3 linked regions of the Arabidopsis thaliana genome follow. The protein of the gene in region 2 interacts with the protein of the main gene of each other region in a pairwise test. Each region holds a gene or a part of one and is shown on either strand. Other genes may lie near its edges.

Evidence for each region.
Region 1: the proteins of KNAT1 (region 2) and MYB39 interact in binary tests that used the Arabidopsis thaliana proteins (3 or more experiments, as listed by UniProt).
Region 3: the proteins of KNAT1 (region 2) and MKK4 interact in binary tests that used the Arabidopsis thaliana proteins (3 or more experiments, as listed by UniProt).

The regions. Positions count from the first base shown.
Region 1 is NC_003075.7:9,881,569-9,885,407, reverse strand, and holds MYB39 (myb domain protein 39), read left to right. Parts: upstream 1-1,975; 5' UTR 1,976-2,039; coding exon 2,040-2,305; intron 2,306-2,640; coding exon 2,641-3,420; coding exon of another isoform or gene 3,421-3,424; exon of another isoform or gene 3,425-3,504; coding exon 3,505-3,541; 3' UTR 3,542-3,809; downstream 3,810-3,839.
Region 2 is NC_003075.7:5,149,141-5,152,740, reverse strand, and holds the start of KNAT1 (homeobox knotted-like protein), read left to right. Parts: upstream 1-1,581; 5' UTR 1,582-2,130; coding exon 2,131-2,598; intron 2,599-2,709; coding exon 2,710-2,835; intron 2,836-2,939; coding exon 2,940-3,078; intron 3,079-3,600. UniProt on the Arabidopsis thaliana protein: May play a role in meristem function, and may be involved in maintaining cells in an undifferentiated, meristematic state, and its expression disappears at the same time the shoot apex undergoes the transition from vegetative to reproductive development.
Region 3 is NC_003070.9:19,152,245-19,156,083, forward strand, and holds the start of MKK4 (mitogen-activated protein kinase kinase 4), read left to right. Parts: upstream 1-2,078; 5' UTR 2,079-2,330; coding exon 2,331-3,431; 3' UTR 3,432-3,839. Other genes in the region: AT1G51650 (ATP synthase epsilon chain), read left to right, coding at 436-619, 1,369-1,397.

The sequences.
Region 1 (3,839 bases), 4.7 Mb from region 2:
TTCACTGTTTTCTATATGGTGCAAGTTTATAATTCAAAGATCGATCGGTTTCCAAAGATGTTCAAGAGTAGGAACAAAAATCCAAACAAGAAAAAAGATAACCGATCTAGACTGAAAGTTTATACAATGTTATGAACTCATTTGAATTCGGAAGTCAATTTTAGCTACAGAGACCGAAAGAGTGAAGCAGCCATTGAATTACAAATTGACGACTATGTATCTGTTGCGTAAGCCGCGTAACAATAACATTACATAGAATTTTAAGGCTTGTCTTATCTATACTCGTTGACAATGTCAAATAAATATAGCATAGGAATTTTATACTATATGGTGCTACTAATTACATGGAACCCTTAATATATACGACTGTTTAAATAGTCAACGTGATAAATAGAGAGTTGGTAAGTGTTTGGTTTTAATTTGACAATGTGAAACAAGCCTGAACATTGACCCTTTAAACCATAACAGTAATTTAACGGTAAAAAAATAGTAATTAAGTATGTAAACAAGATCTTCCGTGAGAGTGAAATTAAACCTCATTATTTAAATTATACTAGTAAACATTTTCTCCAACCGTAGGAAATTTCGTTTTATGTTTTTTTTCTAATTTGTCGTGATCCTTCTCATTCCTTTGAAGACAACAAGATTCTATTATGAAAGATTTTTTCAAAGATCCAATAGTATAATACAACGTAATATATAATACCAACTTTATAGTTACACCTTCTAATAAAATCCACTTACTCGTTTATGTGTTCCTCACGCTATCGACTTAATGTTTGGAACCCGCGAGAGAAGTTCTTTAATTAAATTAGTCAATCGAAAAAAGCTATCCATTTCCTTTATCAAAGTAAATCAATTCGAAAATCTCGTATTAACTTGATCATCCAAATCCATATGTATATTTTCGAATAATATAAAACAGAAATTGAGATAACCTATACTAAAGAGAGTTTCACGTAAAAAATTTATATTTTCACGTAACAAAAAATTACAAAACAATTAAACAAAAAACAAATGATAATAGCATAGGTAATTTTTTGTGACTTGAAATTCAGAACGTATGGTAGGCACAAACGACGGTTTGGTAACAATAAGGAGAATAATAATAATCTTCGTTTGAATTCAAATAGAGGAAGAAGAAGCGAAAGGGTAGGCTTTGATCAACCATGAGACATTGAAGCAGGTAGAGATAATTCTTTGAATGCGGTGGAAGCAATCACATAATGATAAATGCAAGATTCCAATTTTGATGAACTTTGCAATGAGAACATAATATTGCTTTTCAATTAAATATTAGTTAAATATACCCTTCAAGAAAAGTAGTTAACAAGTTTAATTTATAATCATGCATTTATGCGAAATTCTTATTTGTAGGTTTTAATCTAAATAGAGAAATATACACATATATAGGAAATATTCAAAAATGATCACATGCATGTTTAATTTTTGAAAAATGTGGCTTTCTTTTATAACATAATTTCAATAAGATTAGTTTGAATTGCAGATTATGAAATAGTATATAATTTGTGATTGTTTTACAAGTAAAAGAGCGTAAGAAATTTGGTCCCAAAAAAAAAAGATTTTAGTAGGGAAATATCAACATTTTATTCTAACATAGCTAGGGCAAATATTTTATACATCTAACCCACAATAACAAAATCCATTAATGCATTAACAATTATTCGTATTCTTTTATATAAAAATTATTTGTTTGAACATCATCCCCACGAATTACTCTTCGAAGTTCGAACGCCATGACACATATCATATTATCAGTACCTAATCTTGATTTTGTTATAACTATTTTGGTTATTTAACTGATTTATTGAATGACTCATATATTGTAGACTTATGACACACTATGAAAAATAATATTTACACCAAATTCTGACGAATGCATACACAACTTTACTTTAGTTATGTCATGACTGCTTTTCACATCTATATATACATACAAACCTAATCGTAGGGAGCGACGAAACGAAGATCATATCTTCAAAAACCTCTGATAAGTTTTGGTTCTTGATATAAACAAAATGGGAAGATCACCGTGTTGCGATCAAGACAAAGGCGTGAAGAAAGGACCGTGGCTGCCAGAAGAAGATGATAAGCTCACTGCTTATATAAACGAGAATGGTTATGGGAATTGGCGGTCGCTTCCTAAGCTCGCTGGACTTAACCGCTGTGGCAAGAGCTGTCGGCTCCGGTGGATGAATTATCTCCGGCCTGATATCCGGAGAGGCAAATTTTCCGATGGAGAAGAGAGTACTATCGTTAGACTCCATGCCCTCCTTGGCAACAAGTAAGACTATTTTTTTTTCGTTAAAGCTTTTATGCTATTTTGTTAGCACTAAATGATTTAGGTCTCGCTTGTTTCAGACGTAATTATGTGTTCCTGTTTACATGTTTTTTTCATAATTTTAAAATATAAACCATTTTCAGTTCTTTTAAAATTAATATAAAGTGCAAAAACAAATTTACGTATGGATACCATTGCATAGTTTATTATTGCTATTATAGAATTCACATCCTCAAGACTATAGTCTAAACTTTAGTTTATAATTCTCTAACCATACAAAAGGTTAAGTTTTCGTTGGTTCATTTTACTAACGTTTGAGTCGAATTTTTACCATACAGATGGTCGAAAATTGCGGGTCATCTTCCAGGAAGAACAGATAATGAAATTAAAAACTATTGGAACACTCATATGAGGAAGAAGTTATTGCAAATGGGGATTGATCCAGTGACGCACGAGCCAAGAACCAACGATCTTAGCCCTATCCTCGATGTTTCTCAAATGCTCGCGGCAGCAATCAACAATGGCCAATTTGGTAACAATAACCTCCTCAACAATAACACCGCTTTGGAAGATATTCTTAAACTCCAATTGATCCATAAAATGCTTCAAATCATAACCCCCAAAGCCATACCAAACATCAGTAGCTTCAAGACCAATTTACTGAATCCTAAACCAGAACCGGTAGTCAATAGCTTCAATACCAATTCAGTGAATCCTAAACCGGATCCCCCGGCTGGTCTTTTCATAAACCAAAGTGGAATCACTCCTGAGGCCGCCTCGGATTTCATTCCATCTTATGAAAATGTTTGGGATGGTTTTGAAGATAACCAGCTTCCTGGTTTGGTTACGGTTTCTCAAGAGAGTTTAAATACAGCAAAACCGGGTACCAGTACGACCACCAAGGTAAATGATCATATCAGAACCGGTATGATGCCGTGTTACTATGGTGATCAACTACTAGAAACCCCATCTACTGGTTCGGTATCGGTCTCTCCCGAGACAACCAGTTTGAACCATCCCAGTACAGCTCAACACTCATCCGGTTCAGATTTCCTAGAGGACTGGGAGAAGTTTCTTGATGATGAAACAAGTGATTCTTGCTGGAAAAGTTTCTTAGAGTAAGATCTATCTCCGCATTGATTAACATAGTATATGATTTATATTTATGGTTTATTAACAGAATTGTTTTATCTAATCTGCAGCTTAACGTCACCCACATCGTCACCTGTCCCATGGTAGAACTGGATTTTGTTCGGGTCGTATACTCATAGTTTTAAAGACAATACATACACAAAGATATTCGATTAATACTCTTAATTTTGTTTGTTATTAAATATTGATTTAAAGTTTGTATATTTTCTTGTAAAGGAATTCTTATTTGTAATTTGTTCTTATTTGGTTTGGTTGTTGTGTAAAGAAACACATTGTAATCACCATTCTATTATTGCCCATTTAATAACAATATTTTGGATAAATATCTACGAGCAGTCTAATTTATACAATCAAACAACTCTATGGAAACATAACTTGATTCACA
Region 2 (3,600 bases):
TAATTGACTTTCTAATCTAAAAGATAGAATTCTATGAAATTGTACACACTTTTGAAAACAATTTTTTTTTTAATAGAAAATTATAAGAAATTAGATCCATATGGTTATGGGTATTATAATATTTTTATTTATATATATATATATATATATATATATATATATTCTTCTTGCATGACCATATTAATGAGAATATTGGGATCAGAGACTTATTTATAGTGTGTTTTTAGTCTATTGCACTTGTGTTTTGGAATATTATGATATTTAATTCAAAGATGTACCCTTAATGAATGATCTTTTATGATGTCAATGTTTCAGCATCTTATACTGAAACAGAAAATAAGAGGAGGTCTTAAAGGAAAAGAAAACATTTCGAATGCAAAAATTTAACCTTTAACATTTTCGATTTTTTTTAATGAAATTCTAATAATATTGGTTCTAAGCAGCTGATTTTATTTTTTTAATAGTAAGAAATAATATATGTATACATATATATTTAAATATTTACTATCAAAATTTCCGGCATAGCAAGTCATAATTTGTAAGAAATCTTACATTTTGTTGTTTACAAACTCTCACAAGTCACAATGTAAGTTTCGGTCTAGTGCAGTGATGAGGTAAACAAAAAAAAAAATCTATCGATGAGCCAACTTTTTGATCTAGAGCCCTAGGATTTGACGATTTATATATAAATAAAACCCTAGGATTTTCGTTTCTTTTTGTATAAAAATGAATTCATAGGCACTCTATACGTCTCATGAATCATGAAATATAAATCGAGATTAAATAGAAAATTGAATGTTGACCGTGGAACAGAACAAGTGTTGAAAGAAGTGTGTTTGCAGCATGGTCTTATCATAGAGCCAATAGTTGGAAATTAGCAGAATATCGTATAATATCCACTATCCTGTAAAGCATTTTTATAATTCCTTTTTTTTTTCTCGGTTTCTAATGTAATCTTCTATCCGATAACAAATATTCGGATAGTGTGATCTCTCCACTAATATACATACGAAATTACGAAAACTAAAATTATAATTTCATCGATTTGATTAAACTCCAAAAACATCCAAGTCTTGCATCAAATATGTACATTTCTATCATATTGTTTATAATTCTTTTTTTGTTATCCGTAAGTTTTAGGCAGAAACCCGTACAGTGAAACCGAGGACCAGAACAAGATAAACGTAGTCCCCTCTCCTAAGTATAGAATTATAATGTGACACATGATCACAATTTGTTGAACGAACTCTATGTTCAACCACTAGACTACAAATTCTTGGGTTTATATCGTATTAGAAGTATATATAAATCATACATATTTTTTTTAAAACTTTTTTCTTGACTATTCTTTTAAGAAAAAAAAACATTTCATTACTAGAAAATAGTACAAAATATATCATTCAACCTAGCAAGAAACCATAGCCTGAAGTAGCCGCGAAGACCTAGTTGCTTAAACACTGAGTGGTTCATCTTAATTCGAATATTATAAACCACATTTTAATTAAGTAAATTACTTAGTCTTGTTCTAATGTATAAAATAGCCTATGAGAGGAAAACAGAAGAGAGAAGCCTTTGCCTTATCTCTTGTCCCTTCTCTCTTACCTTTATTTTAATTTTCAAATATTTCTTTTTGCTCCCAAAGCAAACGACGTCTTGTCAATCCACTCAAGCCACCCAACTTCTTCATTATTGTTAATCTCTCTCTCTCTCTCTTTCTCTCTTCTTCTCTCTTTCTCTTTTTTTTTTTTTTATTTTCTTCTCTTCCATGTCACTTCCTTGACGAATTCTATATACCTAGTTCGTTTTTTCTTCCTCAAATATATCTTTTTCAATTTATTTGGTTTTTCTTTGGGTGCAACTTCACCTCACAAAATTTTCTCTCTTTTTTTATATTAATTTGAGTTAGGCCTTTTTGATTTCATAGATGAGTCGTCTAGTCGTCTGGATTTGATGTGGTTATAGTCTTACAGAGACCTTTGATTGAAATAAGAACAAAAGCAAGAATACATACATCCTCTTCATCTTACACCCATCCTTTTTTATTTTTCTAGGGTTTTATTTTTTTTTAATTTATTTTTTTTCTTTGATTTTTATATTCTCTCTCTCTCTCAAATCTTTACTCATCTGGGTATGGAAGAATACCAGCATGACAACAGCACCACTCCTCAAAGAGTAAGTTTCTTGTACTCTCCAATCTCTTCTTCCAACAAAAACGATAACACAAGTGATACCAACAACAACAACAACAATAATAATAGTAGCAATTATGGTCCTGGTTACAATAATACTAACAACAACAATCATCACCACCAACACATGTTGTTTCCACATATGAGCTCTCTTCTCCCTCAAACAACCGAGAATTGCTTCCGATCTGATCATGATCAACCCAACAACAACAACAACCCATCTGTTAAATCTGAAGCTAGCTCCTCAAGAATCAATCATTACTCCATGTTAATGAGAGCCATCCACAATACTCAAGAAGCTAACAACAACAACAATGACAACGTAAGCGATGTTGAAGCCATGAAGGCTAAAATCATTGCTCATCCTCACTACTCTACCCTCCTACAAGCTTACTTGGACTGCCAAAAGGTTTGGTTTTATTCTTATTGTTATGTTATAATATATACTCTTTTTTTAAAGATATAATATATAGTTATGTGTGACATATATATGTATGTTCATGGGTCATGGTTTATATAGATTGGAGCTCCACCTGATGTGGTTGATAGAATTACGGCGGCACGGCAAGACTTTGAGGCTCGACAACAGCGGTCAACACCGTCTGTCTCTGCCTCCTCTAGAGACCCGGAGTTAGATCAATTCATGGTTCATTACTAACCAAAGTTGAATTTTAATTAAATGGGTCGGTTCTTTGTGTGTATATGTGTTAGAAGTCTTGATTTTCCTTTTTTATTTTTTGGTATGAATAGGAAGCATACTGTGACATGTTGGTTAAATATCGTGAGGAGCTAACAAGGCCCATTCAGGAAGCAATGGAGTTTATACGTCGTATTGAATCTCAGCTTAGCATGTTGTGTCAGAGTCCCATTCACATCCTCAACAATCCTGGTACATGTCATCAATCTCATATACATACATATATGCACATGTAAGAAATGGCTGGAGAAAACAAAGTGTAGTGGCAAGGTAGGGCTAATGATGGATTGCATAAATTGGCATGTTTCTTTGGTTCATGGTAAATTGTTGTAACATTGAGATATTAAAAAAAAAAAAAATCATAGTCTACATACATTTTCAAATGTTAATTAAGATTATAAGATAATTAAGATAATTGAGATGCATTATTGTTGGAAAGTATGTAAGATACAAATAGGTGTGCATATTTGTTCTTGTTTTCCCCATTGTGGAATCCATCCAAAGATGGGTGGGGCTTATTTTTGTTTTTTTTCTTTTCACTCGGCCCAAAAGTACTATCACAAGAACTTTTGGTGCTGCTCGTGAAGATTTATTTGGGACATTATCTTCTTCGATTTCGTTATGCTAAAACATCAAAATCTCTACTCGGATTAATTAGTCTAATCATAAAGGTAGATGACTAGAATGTTGTTAAATGACTAAACCATTTAACTT
Region 3 (3,839 bases), on a different chromosome or scaffold from region 2:
CACGAAATTCAATCTACCTGAAAATGAGAATAAGTTTTGAGTAAATTTCGTGGAGACTCCTGGAAATAAGTTTGTTTGTTTTCCTATTTTTATGTAACTTCGCTTAAATTTCTAATTGCCTAATCAAGGTATTAAAATAGCAAAGCTTGGTTTGGCTCAGTCTTCGCGTAAACTCCAAGAAACAATCATAAAAACAAATAAAAAAGACAAGAAACCAAAAAAAAAAAAAAAGTTGAGAGATTTCAGTAGATGAAAGTTGGATAGAAGATTCGTGTAGTTAGCTACTTAATGGGCCGTTAAAATATTTAATAAGGCCCATTGGGTCTAAACTGTGTTAGGATTACTAGGGCACAGAATCGGTCTCTGTCCCATTTCGCGAACTTTCTCCTTAGAATCGGAACGGACGAAGAAGGAAGACAAGGAAGAAGATCGGAGATGGCATCGAATGCGGCGGTTCCGTTCTGGAGAGCGGCGGGGATGACATATATATCGTATTCAAACATCTGTGCGAATATCGTGAGGAACTGTCTCAAGGAGCCACACAAAGCTGAAGCTCTTACTCGCGAGAAGGTTCACTTCTCTCTCTCCAAATGGGCTGATGGAAAGCCCCAGAAACCTGGTAAGCCTTTTCGATCCTTTAATCGTCGATGTTGGATCTTAGATCTGGATTCTTCACGTTCTTGTGTTCTCGATTCCTGATTTGTTTTTGAGTAATTTGTTGGAATAATCTGATTTCCTAAAAGTTATCGGAATTAAGTGGAAAGTGAATCATCTGCTTCTGGATTTGATCTTCGATTTTGCATTTAACCTTTCCTCTGCTTCTGGATTTGATCAGTTCAATACTATCTTCATACAATGTTGTTATGTCCAAATTGTTGAATTTTTCATTTAGAGTTAGCTTCAGAGAAAACAACAAAACTAGTAGTATGTGTGAAACAAGAACATGAAGAAGATGGAAAGCTGATTGGGAACATTGCATTTAGATGTCTTTTCTCGTTTATGTTTGGATCTGAATTCTTCATGTTCTTGTTGTGTGTCATTGAAATTGTTGGAATACGTAGATATCAGAGTAGGTCATTTTGGGAAAGCTATTGAATTTAAGAGGAAGATGAATCATTTTAACAAGCTCCATCGATTTTGCGCTTAATCTGTCTCTCTTCTGCTTCTGGATTTGATTAATTTCATTCTATTTTGTTTTCTCATAAGTTGTTGTTATGTTCAAATTGTTGAATTTGGAATGATTTCATTTCTCAAATAGGGTTTACTGAGACAATGATTCCAGATTTAGTCTATCTGAAAATGGTTCAGCTTTCTTCTTGTTGATCCATTTGTCTAACATTCTCTCATGTTTTTGTTTTTCCTTGACAGTTTTGCGGTCAGACACACCTGAAGTTTGAAGTCAACTTTGAGCTTATGTTCTTAAGGGATTCAAAAGTAACTGAGTTACCAAGATTTGTTTTCTTTTTATTGTCAACAATGGAGCTTGAGTGAAAAACTCATTTCCGATCATAATAATGACACACTGAGTCTTGTGTATCTCTTTTCTTCTTTTGCTATTCTGTTTCACTTTTTGTATGCGAACAATGAAAAAAAGCCTTTAAAGACTCTTCTGGCTAAAGACAAGTTCTTTTGATTGTTACAGAACAGTGAGAATAGCATAAAACTAAGCACATACGTGGAGAATCAATACACTGTCAGAAGTTGAGAGAAGACCATACTTAATATTAAACATGAGAATATACAAACTGATTTTCTGAATCATGTATTTTGAATCGCAGTACGCATATTTGCAGGTTAGACCATCTCCAATGTCACTTTTACGCGTTTGTTTGATTTAAATTCGATTTCCTCTTCTTGGTTTATATCACAAAACCAACAAAACGACACCGCGTAAAGTCTGAAAAAAACTTAACAGAGCCAGAAGTGCCCAGTGAACCAACCACACAAAGTCACAAATGGTTTCCGTGCTTGAAAGTGATCCTCACGCGCTTTACACATCGCGTAGATACCTTTTTCTCGATTTTAACAATTTTGCTATTTATTTCCTTTTAATTAATTTTCTCAAAATAAAAATTAACGTTCCCTTTTCAGTGTCCTTTCAATTTCTTTCGACGAAACTTCATTTCTCAATTTCTTTTGATTTTGATCGCTTCGAAGAACGAATCAATTTAAGCCTGCCACAAACAAACCCTAGAATACGACAACGCACGACGACGAAGAAGTCGAAGAAGACTACTACTATAAACGACGAAGATCATTACTTCAATCTTCAATCGAGCTTTTAAATTTTCAGATCGTAGAAGAAAATCGAACTTTTGATTCCAAAAGCGATGAGACCGATTCAATCGCCTCCAGGAGTTTCCGTTCCGGTGAAAAGCCGTCCCCGTCGCCGTCCTGATCTTACCTTACCGCTTCCTCAACGCGATGTTTCTCTCGCTGTACCTCTTCCTCTCCCACCTACTTCCGGTGGTTCCGGTGGCTCTAGTGGATCTGCGCCGTCTTCTGGTGGTTCGGCGTCTTCAACGAACACTAACAGCTCCATAGAAGCGAAGAACTATTCGGATTTAGTGAGAGGTAACCGTATCGGAAGCGGAGCAGGTGGAACGGTATACAAAGTGATTCACCGTCCGAGTTCTCGTCTATATGCACTTAAGGTGATATACGGTAACCACGAGGAGACTGTGAGACGTCAGATCTGTAGAGAGATCGAGATTTTACGAGATGTGAATCATCCAAACGTTGTGAAATGTCACGAGATGTTTGATCAGAACGGTGAGATCCAGGTTTTGCTTGAGTTTATGGATAAAGGTTCTTTAGAAGGTGCTCATGTGTGGAAAGAGCAACAATTAGCTGATCTATCTCGTCAGATTCTTAGTGGTTTAGCTTATCTCCATAGCCGTCACATAGTTCATCGTGATATCAAACCATCGAATCTTTTGATAAACTCTGCTAAAAACGTTAAGATTGCTGATTTTGGAGTTAGTAGGATCTTGGCTCAGACTATGGATCCGTGTAATTCATCTGTTGGAACCATTGCTTATATGAGTCCTGAGAGGATTAACACTGATTTGAATCAGGGAAAGTATGATGGTTATGCTGGAGATATTTGGAGCTTAGGTGTTAGCATTTTGGAGTTTTACTTGGGGAGGTTTCCTTTCCCTGTGAGTAGACAAGGTGATTGGGCTAGTCTTATGTGTGCCATTTGTATGTCTCAGCCTCCAGAAGCTCCAGCGACTGCGTCGCCGGAGTTTCGGCATTTTATCTCGTGTTGCTTGCAGAGAGAACCGGGGAAAAGGAGGAGTGCTATGCAGCTATTGCAGCATCCTTTCATATTAAGAGCAAGTCCGAGCCAGAACAGGTCTCCTCAGAATCTACATCAACTCTTGCCTCCTCCTCGTCCTCTGTCCTCGTCTTCTTCTCCAACCACATAGCGTTTTCTCTCTTCTTCCCTTCATCAACTCATATTTTTTGTGTTACTACTGTTCTTGAGTCTGTTGTCCAATTTTTTGCTAATCATGGAGGGTCTCTGAATTTTACATTTATTAGGGAGTAAAAAACTCGAGAGAGGGTTTTTGGGATTATTGTTTTCTAGAAAGGTAAAAGAGAACAATGATAATATTCTTATGCTTATGATGGTGCATGTATCCCCAATGTAGCTTTGTTGAATTTTCATAAAAGTTTTTGCCTTGGTTTTTCTTTTGTCATTTATGCTCGTCAATTTTGCATCTTGAAGACGAAAAGGACCGTTTCGTTTCCATTCTCGGTGTTTAGTTTTGTCATTGATAAAATGTCTCCTTGTAAAGCTTATTACCATCATGAAAAAGCAAAATATACGGATC